Mus musculus: one gene and its partners. The protein of the gene in region 1 binds, or shares a complex with, the protein of each later gene. Links are inferred from orthologs where the notes say so. Each region holds a gene or a part of one and is shown on either strand. Other genes may lie near its edges. The genes, in order: Cnot10, Cnot7 and Cnot8.

What was found.
Region 2: Cnot10 (region 1) and Cnot7 share a complex: the UniProt entries of both Homo sapiens proteins name them as parts of the CCR4-NOT complex. The link is inferred for Mus musculus from reciprocal best matches to the Homo sapiens genes CNOT10 and CNOT7.
Region 3: Cnot10 (region 1) and Cnot8 share a complex: the UniProt entries of both Homo sapiens proteins name them as parts of the CCR4-NOT complex. The link is inferred for Mus musculus from reciprocal best matches to the Homo sapiens genes CNOT10 and CNOT8.

The regions. Positions count from the first base shown.
Region 1 is NC_000075.6:114,626,551-114,630,204, forward strand, and holds part of Cnot10 (CCR4-NOT transcription complex subunit 10), read right to left. Parts: intron 2,608-3,654; coding exon 2,457-2,607; intron 986-2,456; coding exon 843-985; intron 1-842. UniProt on the Homo sapiens protein: Component of the CCR4-NOT complex which is one of the major cellular mRNA deadenylases and is linked to various cellular processes including bulk mRNA degradation, miRNA-mediated repression, translational repression during translational initiation and general transcription regulation.
Region 2 is NC_000074.6:40,492,038-40,494,908, forward strand, and holds the end of Cnot7 (CCR4-NOT transcription complex subunit 7), read right to left. Parts: intron 2,079-2,871; coding exon 1,950-2,078; 3' UTR 501-1,949; downstream 1-500. UniProt on the Homo sapiens protein: Has 3'-5' poly(A) exoribonuclease activity for synthetic poly(A) RNA substrate. Its function seems to be partially redundant with that of CNOT8.
Region 3 is NC_000077.6:58,110,363-58,114,016, forward strand, and holds part of Cnot8 (CCR4-NOT transcription complex subunit 8), read left to right. Parts: intron 1-897; coding exon 898-1,091; intron 1,092-2,689; coding exon 2,690-2,851; intron 2,852-3,587; coding exon 3,588-3,654. UniProt on the Homo sapiens protein: Has 3'-5' poly(A) exoribonuclease activity for synthetic poly(A) RNA substrate. Its function seems to be partially redundant with that of CNOT7.

The DNA of each region.
Region 1 (3,654 bases):
GAGTGCCCAAGTCAAGTACCCAGAGGCCATTTGCAAACTGAAGCCACTGCAGAGCCCACTTCTAGGGACTGAGAGTCGAGTGGCACACTAACGTGGCACACTTAGGAAACTCATAGATGAGCATAACCAGGGACCCATTTAAAATCACAGGTGCCACTCAAGACTACGCCTCTAAAGCCCAAGCCAGACCCTGTCTCTTTCTAGCCAGCACCACTGAAGCCCAGCTTCCTGAGGAAGCCCTCAGTCTCCCACCGTCCTGACCGCAGAGCCCCTTGGCTGCAGTGGGAAAATGCCCCAGCCACTGCCCATTGCAGACACTGCTCCCTTCCCAGCCTACAAGTCCCTCGGCTCCACCCCTCCTCTTCTGATAGGTCAAACTGTTCAACTCACTGTACTCCATCCGCCCCTCCCCAGCAGAGGGCCCAAAGGACAAGGATTGCATACAGTGTTCCTACTGTCAGATCAGACACACACAGACACACACACACACAGACACACAGACACACACACACACACACACACACACACACACACCACACACACCCCTACTGAACTTAAGGCCTATTTCACCAAATATTAACAGTACTAAATATTATGAAAATGAAATATTTGACAACACAAGGTTTAGGAGTGAAGCTGAGAGCATTCAACTGGAATCTAACATACCCTGTTGGGTTGAGAAATGTGAAACATGCAAACATTAATAAATGGAACATTTTACACACAGTTTACAAGGGTAAGTCAGATATTACTTTCTGTGAATGCCATCTCATAAGCTGCTAGGATACTACCTCATACAACAGACACTGGTCACACTTCTAAGTCCAGTGCCTGGAACTCACCTCGTTCTTCCCATTTTTGCCACCGCTACCCTGTGAAATCATTTTTTCTAGGACGGCAAGAAGATGCAGAGCTTTCTCAGCCTGGTGGGTTAATATATACAAGTCTACGAGCAAAAAGCACACCGCTTGGGCAAATTTTTCTTCTGGCAAAACAAACACACAAATAGGAAAAGTTACAGTCCAAGCTTGAGCATACATCTCTGCTTACCCACAAACAGGACACCACCCTGCAAAATGAAGCATGTCTTCCCCCAAGCAAAGGATGCCACTAAAGCCATGACTGAAAGCAGCACGCTATCCCTGGAACTCACTCTGTAGACCAGGCTGGCCTCGAATTCAGAAATCCGCCTGCCTCTGCCTCTCAAGTGCTGGGATTAAAGGCGAACGAATGCTTATTTTATGTGCATGAGTGTTATAAGTGTGCACAGATTCCTGTCTTCTACACACATATACACACATACTCAACTGTTCACCCATGAACTCACATAGAAAATGACCAAAATTCCTGCCTGTATACATGTGTATTCTTGATGCATGCTGAGACCAGAACAGGGCATTGGATCCCTTGAAACCATAGTTACAGACAGTTGTTGGCTGCCAAGTAGGGCTGGGAACCAAACTCAGATCCTCTACAAGAGAAAGTACTCCAAACCACTGAGCCACTGTCCAGCCCTCCTAATCTTTCATGTAAATTAAGGTATGAAAGGTCCCTAAGAGGAGAGTATTCAACAGCAAGGAAGAGACAAGAAGTTTTTGCACTACCCAACAGTTCATTTTCACCCTTCCTTCCCTTTGTCCCATCCTTCCTTTTTGATAGAGTCTCACGAAGCCCAGGCTGGCCTCAAACCTAGGCTGTATCAGAAGATGACCCCAAACATCTGGTCCTCCTGCCCGAGTCCAGGAGGCTAGGATTACAGGCATGTGACAGCATGTGGGGGACCTTTAAACACCAGGTGGGAAAGAGTGCTAAAGGAAAACTGGCCTTCTCTAGACTAAAAACAAATTTAGAATTGTGGAAACAGCTTTATTCTGTTGTTTTTGGTCATTTTCTATGTGTGTACAAAGGTGTGCAGTTGAGTATGTGTGTACGTGTGTGGAAGACGAGGAATCTCTGCTGTTGCTCCTTAGGCACTGTTTACTTTAGTTGTTCTATCTGCATGTATGTCTGTGCACGCCATGCATGCTGGCTGCCTGATGAAGCCAGAAGAAAGCATCAGATCTTGTCAGAGTGAGCAGCTCGCTGTGTGGGTGCTGGGAATTGAACTCATGCACTAGAGCAGCTGGTGCTCTTACCATCTCTCCAGTCCCTGACTCTAGTTGTCTGAGGCAGGCATCTCACTAGCCTGGAGCTCTCTAAGAAAGCCAGGCTATCTAGCCAGAATTCTCAACACACCCGCCTGTGCCCTCCCCATGGATTACAGCCATGTCCACAGGCCCAGCTATTCTCATGTGGACTCGGCACCGAATGCAGGCCCTCACACTCACAGGGCAAGCACTCTACTGAGTTATGTATTTCTCCCATTCTTTCTCCCCCTTTAAATGCTAACATATAGCTCAGATTTAGGTCATCTAGATAAAAGCAATAGAGAAATTTGCAAGAAAGAGAGGACATACCGAAAGGTTCTATGAACTGATAGAGCTTCTCGCCGACAGATATGGCCTCCGTGTACTGGCGCAGATGATAGAGAATGACAGCCTGGTTATAATACAGCATGCTGTTCTCAACATCGTCTAACCCATCCATCTCTTCAACAGCCGAGTGGACCTGAAACAATCCGGGCAGAATGCACTCTAACAACAGCAAGGAAACAAACAGCAAAAGGCAAAGAACTCAGCGAGGTGTGTGGCACACCCCCATAAGCTCAGCACCTAAAGCTGAGGCAGGAGAACTAACACAAGGTCATGGTCAGTTGAGGCTACACAGTGAGTTCCAGGCCAGCCTTTGAATAGCTGTGGGTGCAGATGTGTGCCACCATGCCCGGCTCCAACACATCTTATTTGATTTTCCTACACTGCCATAATACCTCTGTCAGGCTGGTGGCACACGTCCTTATCCCACCACTGGGAGGGAGGCAGAGAGAGATAGCAGATCCTTGAGTTCCAGGCCAGCCTACTCTACAGAGCGAGTTCAAGGACAGCAAGAGCGACAGAGAAACTGTCTGAAAAAAAAAAAAAAAAAACAAGGACAAAATAGTACCTTCAGGTTTTAATTAGTCCCCAAAGCTACATAGTGAGAATACAAATATTTATCTTATAAATGAGAGAGATTAGTCTTAATTATGTTGTCCAAAACCAGGGTATATTTAAGGGTCTAGTCTCATGGAATAACAATTCTGTTTTAAAAAATAGCAAGCAACAAAACCCAAGCGGCTGCATTGCAGTAGGTGGTTAGAATAAGCCTTTAAAAAGGATTTTGTTTTTATTTCCCGTGTGTGTGCCTGCAGGTATGCATGTACACCTCAAAGGCAAGAAGAGGGCATTGGATGCCCCAGAACTAGAGTTACAGATGCTTGTGAGCTACCACCCAGATGCTGGGAACCAGACCCAGGTCCTCTGGGAGAGCAGTAGCCAGTGCTTTGAACCACTGAGCATCTCTTCAGCACACGACGACAGGGTGGACCAGTGTCAGTCACATATGGAGCCCAGAGGACAGGCTTGTGTCACAAGTGCGTCTACCCTCTGAGCAATCTCACTGGCCCAATATTTTCATTTATTTTCTTTCCCCTGCCCACTTTTAGGTTGAATTATTTTATTTTGTGTATGACTGTTTCCCCTGCATGCATGTGTGTAGGGTACAAGCCTGCCTGCCAGA
Region 2 (2,871 bases), on another chromosome or scaffold:
AACTAAGGAAAAGCTGCGCAACAGTATAGTGTCTGGATACTCAAGTGAGGCTATTTTGGCCTTCTCCATCCTGCCTAAACGGGATGTAATCAGATAAAGACCAGCATGGAAAAATCCTTTTGCAAGGGAGTGCAGCTGAACACACCAAGACAGTGGAAATTGACTCAGGACAGTCACTCACAACAGCAGGATTACGGATGTGAGCTTCTACACCCAGAGACTTCTAATTTCTTTCAGTCAGGTAATTAACAAAGGGCAAGGAAAGGAATACAGTTGATACAAAGGGGTCAGAGTGCCAGGCTTTATGGCCCAGGCTCTGGGCTGGAGAACTGATTTATGGATCAGCTGGCCTTACTGCAACTTTGAACACTAATAAAAACTAAACCAATCTTTTGAGAACACACACACCACCTAGTGAAGTCCTGTTACCCAAAGAAAATGGCTCAAGTATTCAACACTTCTAAATAAGAGCCCCAAAACCAAAGCCATCAGTCACAACCATATAGGAAAACATTTTTGAAGCCTTTATTTACAAAAGCTTTAAAAACAAATAATACCCTCTGTTTTGCAAATAATGTTTAGTTTAAAAAGGACCGCCCAGGTACAGCATTTTCATATCATGTTTACAGAATGTACAAGGGAAACGAACTATGTTGCTAACAGTTGGAGACTTGCTAATATCGATTGAAGTGTAGATAACACACATTACAACTTGTAGTCCATCACTTCAGGGTAGAGTTAATGTTCACCAAAATCTTCCAACACATGCTCTGGTCTGGTCACATATTCTGCATGGCTAAATATTTCACAGTCTCTTGTCAATATATATAAAATAGATTGCAAAGATATACACAAAAAAATAAACAAGCATTACACTCCTCAGGTAATTTTATTAGCTATATATGTGTGTATTTATATATATTTTTTGCATTTTGTTGTTTTGCACCAAATCTCTCCATTATTTATTTTTGTAGCATTTATGAAATCACATTTATTTTGTATTTTTATTGATATAAAATGTACCTTAAGACTTGTTATCTTTGGACTTTAATGAAATTGATTTGTGTAGTTAACAAATCAAGAACATCATAAATATGTTTATAAAATAAAACAGTAAGGGTAAAAGTGATGGAGTAAAAGGAAGCCGATCAAGGGAGGCGGTGCTGTCATAAAACTGGAGCTCCAACATCTTAATGGCCAGCCTTCTGGCAGAGAGGAGATAGCCAATCACAGGGCTTCTTCCTGAAGGGTGTAAAGCTGGTTTGAAATTCTTCAGTCACATAGCAGCCTATGCATGCCAATTAGAAACCAACAGACATGAGATGTGCTTGGAAGGCTAAACACTACACACAGAAACAGTAGTTACTAGGCTCTTCAGTAGTTCCTTGTCTTTTTCTGTTATTCCTGTTGAACAATTTGCACAATGCACGTGCTGTACTCTGAATGTCAAAAACAAGCAAATACTGTAAAAAGGTGGTAGATGGTTATTTTTCTAGCTAAGAGCAAGAAAAATCACAATTTCTGATAAAATAGAGGATTGAAATCACTCTCTAAAGTGCAAACTTGATGGTCCACAATCTTAAATACCTATAAGTACTGCAGAATAGAAGGAGAGGCATGGAAGAGGGAAATAAATTACACTCAATGCTAGTTAATTTAGGAAAAGGGAAAAACAAAACCAAGCTCAAGTAGGCAAAGTTTATCAAATTATTCAGTAATGTAGCTTTGTCACACAAGCTTGATAAGAAGTGTATTAAATTAAGGCCAGATTTAACCTGAATGTACTTTAATTTATTAAGATCATAGCTAAGAAAGGCCATACTTATTACTGAAAGCAGAGAAGGTCTACAAAAGGGGGGGGGTATTGCCTATTATTTAAGGGATGATAAAACCTATATACAAGCATGTGTGTAACTCGTATAAAATAAAAATAAGAAGACTATTTCCTGTCATGACTGCTTGCTGGCTTCCTCTTCATATGCATTCCCTGTGCCGTTCTGTACATAGGATGAGCCAGAACCAAGGCCATATAAGTGACCACAGTATTTGGCATCATCAATGTGATCTTCAAAGAACATCTAAAAAGAAAATTTTGAAAGAAAAAAAAATCATCTTAAGCAAATGATACAACCTGTAGTTTACATCTCAACACTGTAATTGCTACTAACTCTTTCTGTGATGTTCCTTTGAGAAGCTATGCTGCATATTTAATAAATAAGACTGACTGATGCCCTTAACTACAGGCCTAAAGGACACGTTCTAAAAAGCAAAAATATTTTTCGTTAACATTTACCTCATTTTAATAAGAACTTATGAGCATAAAAAACATGGCAGACATTTTCATTTCTTTAACATAACAAACTTCACAGAATATGAGAAGTAATGTCGAGAAGGGGAGGAGACATTATACCATCTTAGGTTGTCTTAAGTCTAGGTGCAAGGGTGAACTGACTAAAATTAACAAAATCCTAAGCATGGTATAGACAGTAAACCTTAACACTCTCACTACATCACTGTCCTTGAAGAAGACAATAAAAAGGAAAATAAGGATAACAAACTGGTGCCAGAATTCCACCACTGACTAGCCATAAGACATTTTAAAATAAAAATCCAGCTAGGCAGTGGTGGTGCACGCCTTTAATCCCAGCACTCAGGAGGCAGAGGCAGGTGGATTTCTGAGTTCGAGGCCAGCCTGGTCTACAAACTGAGTTCCAGGACAGCCAAGACTAAACAGAGAAACCCTGTCTCAAAAAAACTAAAAAAAAAAAAAAAATCCAAAAGGTGGTCCTATACTGAAACTAAGTTAGTTACGTGAGTGGACAATTCAAATAACTTCTGAATCAATACTACCTGGCAAAACAAGTCAAATGC
Region 3 (3,654 bases), on another chromosome or scaffold:
TCTCTGGGTAAAGTGGGAAGGACTGGTACTGTGTGGCTTATTTTCCTGCCCAATGGCGGGTTAGGTGGCACTCTTCTTAGGCCAGCCCCTGAGCACGCAGGTGCTCTGTTTTACTCCAGGCTTGGAGCTTGCCACTGTCTGTATTCAAACCCTGCTTTCACTCCTCTGTCCATAAGAGGCACTAGCCTTACAAGCTCTCCCAGCAGGTTAAGATCCTGTCATCCCAAACACTGGGGGTGAGGGTGTGGGGTCAGGAGTTCAAGATCAATGAGTATAGGCCAGTCTGAGCTTTACAAGGGTATAAAAGGGTTTTATGTACACACGGCAGTGAAATAGTCACTCAGGAAAGAGGAAGGCTGCATTTGTCCTTTATAAAAACATTAGACCAAGGTGGGAGCTCTGAACAGCAGGCCATGAGCCGGGCTTCTCTTTCAAGTATACGTCACACCAAGAAGCTGATGGGATGGAGCGAAGCCCCTGTGAGCCACCCCATCTACTTGGCTGTATTTGTATTTAACTCATATTGGAAGGTCCTATCTGAAGGCTAGAGAGATGGCTCAGCAGTCGAGGGCACTTGTTCTTCCTGAGGACCATGGTTCAATTCACAGCACCCATATGATAGCTCACAACTGTCTGTAACTCCACTTCCAGGGGATTTGACCCTCTCCTACAGACACACATGCCACCAGTGCACTTGAAGTAAATGAATAAGTGAAAAAAGACGTTCCTACCTGAGCGCAGCTCCCTCTAGTCACCCATTCACCTGTCTGGGTTCTGTTGTGTTCTAGACCTTGGGAGCTTATCTTGGGCTTCTGTAAACTGAAGAGCAATTTTGCTCATGGGTTGCTGAGCACCACTGTTTGCTGAGGCTTAATGGTAAGAGGCTTTTGTTCCTAGGACACAGAGTTCCCAGGTGTTGTTGTACGGCCGATCGGTGAATTTCGAAGCTCCATAGATTACCAGTATCAGCTTCTGCGGTGCAATGTTGATCTTCTTAAAATCATCCAGCTGGGCCTTACGTTCACCAATGAGAAGGGGGAGTACCCGTCTGGAATCAACACATGGCAGTTCAACTTCAAGTTCAACCTGACGTGAGTGTCTTGGGAGACCCTCAGTGTTACTAGACAGCTGAGTTTGAGTGGGCTGGTTGCTGTAAGCTTTACTAATCATGTGGTTTTTGGGATTGAGGTGGGAGGAGACATGGTTTCTCTCTATTATGTTGCTCTGAGTGTCCTGAAACTTGCTATCTTTTTTTTTTTTTTTTTTTTTTTTGGTTTTTCAAGACAGGGTGTAGTCCTGGCTGTCCTGGAACTCACTCTGGAGACCAGGCTGGCCAGAGACCAGGCGGTCTCAGAAATCTGCCTGCCTCTGCCTCCCAAGTGCTGGGATTAAAGGCGTGTGCGACCACGCCCAGCTCTTTTTTCTTTTTTTTAAAAGATTTATTTATCTTTTATGTATGTATGTGAGTACACTGTAGCTGTCTTAAGACACACCAGAAGAGGGCATCAAATCCCTGTACAGATGGTTTTGAGCCACCGTGTGGTTGCTGGGAGTTGAACTCAGGACCTCTGGAAGCAGTCGGTGCTTTTAACCGCTGAGCCAGCTCTCCAGCCCCCAGCCCAAGATTTTTAACTGTTTTTTTTTGTTTTGTTTTGTTTTTTTGTTTTTGAGACAGGATTTTTCTGTGTAGCCCTGGCTGTCCTGGAACTCACTTTGTAGACCAGGCTGGCCTTGAATTCAGAAATCCTCCTGCCTCTGTCTCCTGAGTGCTGGGATTAAAGGCATGCGCCACCACGCCTGACCTTAACTGTTATTTTGTGTATTAATGTTTTGCCTGCATGTATATCTGTCCATCATGTATGTGCCTGGTGTCCACAGCAGTTAGCAGATCCCTGGGACTGGTAGTACGGATGGTTGGGAGCTAAGCCTGGGTCTTCTGTCACGGCAGCAAGAACTCGTAGTGCTGAGCCTCATCTCCAGCCCTGCCTTTTGTTTGTTTTATAAATAAACTTCAGGGGCTGGAGAGATGGCTCAGTGGTTAAGAGCGCCGACTGCTCTTCCAAAGGTCCTGAGTTCAAATCCCAGCAACCACATGGTGGCTCGCAACCATCCGTAATAAGTAAACTTCAGGGTTAGTTCTGTCTCAAGTTTGTTTTGTTAAATTCTACTGTAAATAATATAAAGAAGTGTAAATATGATTAAAAATTAAAAAAACCAAAGGCCGCATAGATGATAGTTCAGTGGTTAAAAGCCCAGGTTGTTCTTCCAGAGCTCCTGAGTTCAGTTCCCAGCAGCCACGTGGGCACTCTCTGTCTGTGATGGGCCTGAATGCCCTCTTCTGGTGTGCAAATATACAGACAAACATCCATATACATAAATAAATAAATATTTAAAAAAGATGAAAAACAGCATAAAAAAAATGTGTGGCTCAATGGTTAGGACACCGGCTGCCCCTCCAAAAGATCTGAGCTCAATTCCCAGAGCTGGGCTCACAATTGTTTAACTCATTCATTTACATAAAACACAATTTTAAGCAAGAGAATATAGGTTTTCTGTAATTAGGAAATACAAATCTGCTGGTTTTTGGAGTGTTTCAGGAGTTCTGTGTTTCCGAATCATAAGCTAACCATAACATCTCTCCTGCTTTGGTCTCACTGCCGCCAGCTCATAGTGACACCTTGTTTTTCAGAGAGGATATGTACTCCCAGGATTCCATAGATCTGCTTGCAAACTCAGGGCTGCAGTTCCAGAAACACGAGGAGGAAGGGATCGATACACTGCACTTTGCAGAGCTGCTTATGACATCGGGAGTGGTTCTCTGTGACAACGTCAAGTGGCTTTCATTTCACAGGTCAGTCCACGGGAACTGTGGCCTGTCTCTTCAGCATAGCTTCGCCCTTCTGACTGTAGGCTGCACTGGGGAGGAACTAAATTCTTGTTGATTTGAGTCCTCCTGGCTTTTTGGAAGCAGCAGTGAGGTGGTGTTGGTGTTCCTGTGTAGTGTTTGGGAGCACGTGAACACGCACATGGGCTTTGCATCACTTGACCTGCAGTGCTGTAGTGGCTGTGCAGTGCTGTCTTCCAGGTGGATGGAGGCTGCTGTGGGCTCGGTTATTTTCAGCCTGGTGTGGCTTGTCCTTTGAAATGTCCTCAAATACAGATATTCTTTAAATACTTTTTGGAAGGTGTTTATTTTTAAAGGGTATGTGTGTGTGTGGTATGTATAGGTATGTGTGTGAGTACCTAGGGAGCCAAAAGAGGATGCTGGGCCATTGCAGGTAGACTTACAGGCATTTGTGAGCTGTCTGACCTGGGTGCTGGGATTGGAACTCTGATTCAAAATTTCTCTTTAGGTGACCCTTCTCCTGGGCTCTTACGGCTTTACTTTTGAGTTTTGATTAATCAAATTCACACAAACTCTCAGGTTCTTGTGTGTTTCTCATCGTAGCTTTCCTTATGTAAATTTCCTCACTGAATGTAAAGCTGAGATCATCAGTGCTCTTTGAGAGGCCCAGCCCCCAGCCTGAGGTGGTGGTTTAAGGCTGGACTGAGGCTGCTTTCAGACATCTGCTTTATTCCTCCTTTAGTGGTTATGATTTTGGCTACATGGTAAAGCTGCTAACAGACTCTCGCCTGCCGGAAGAAGAACACGAG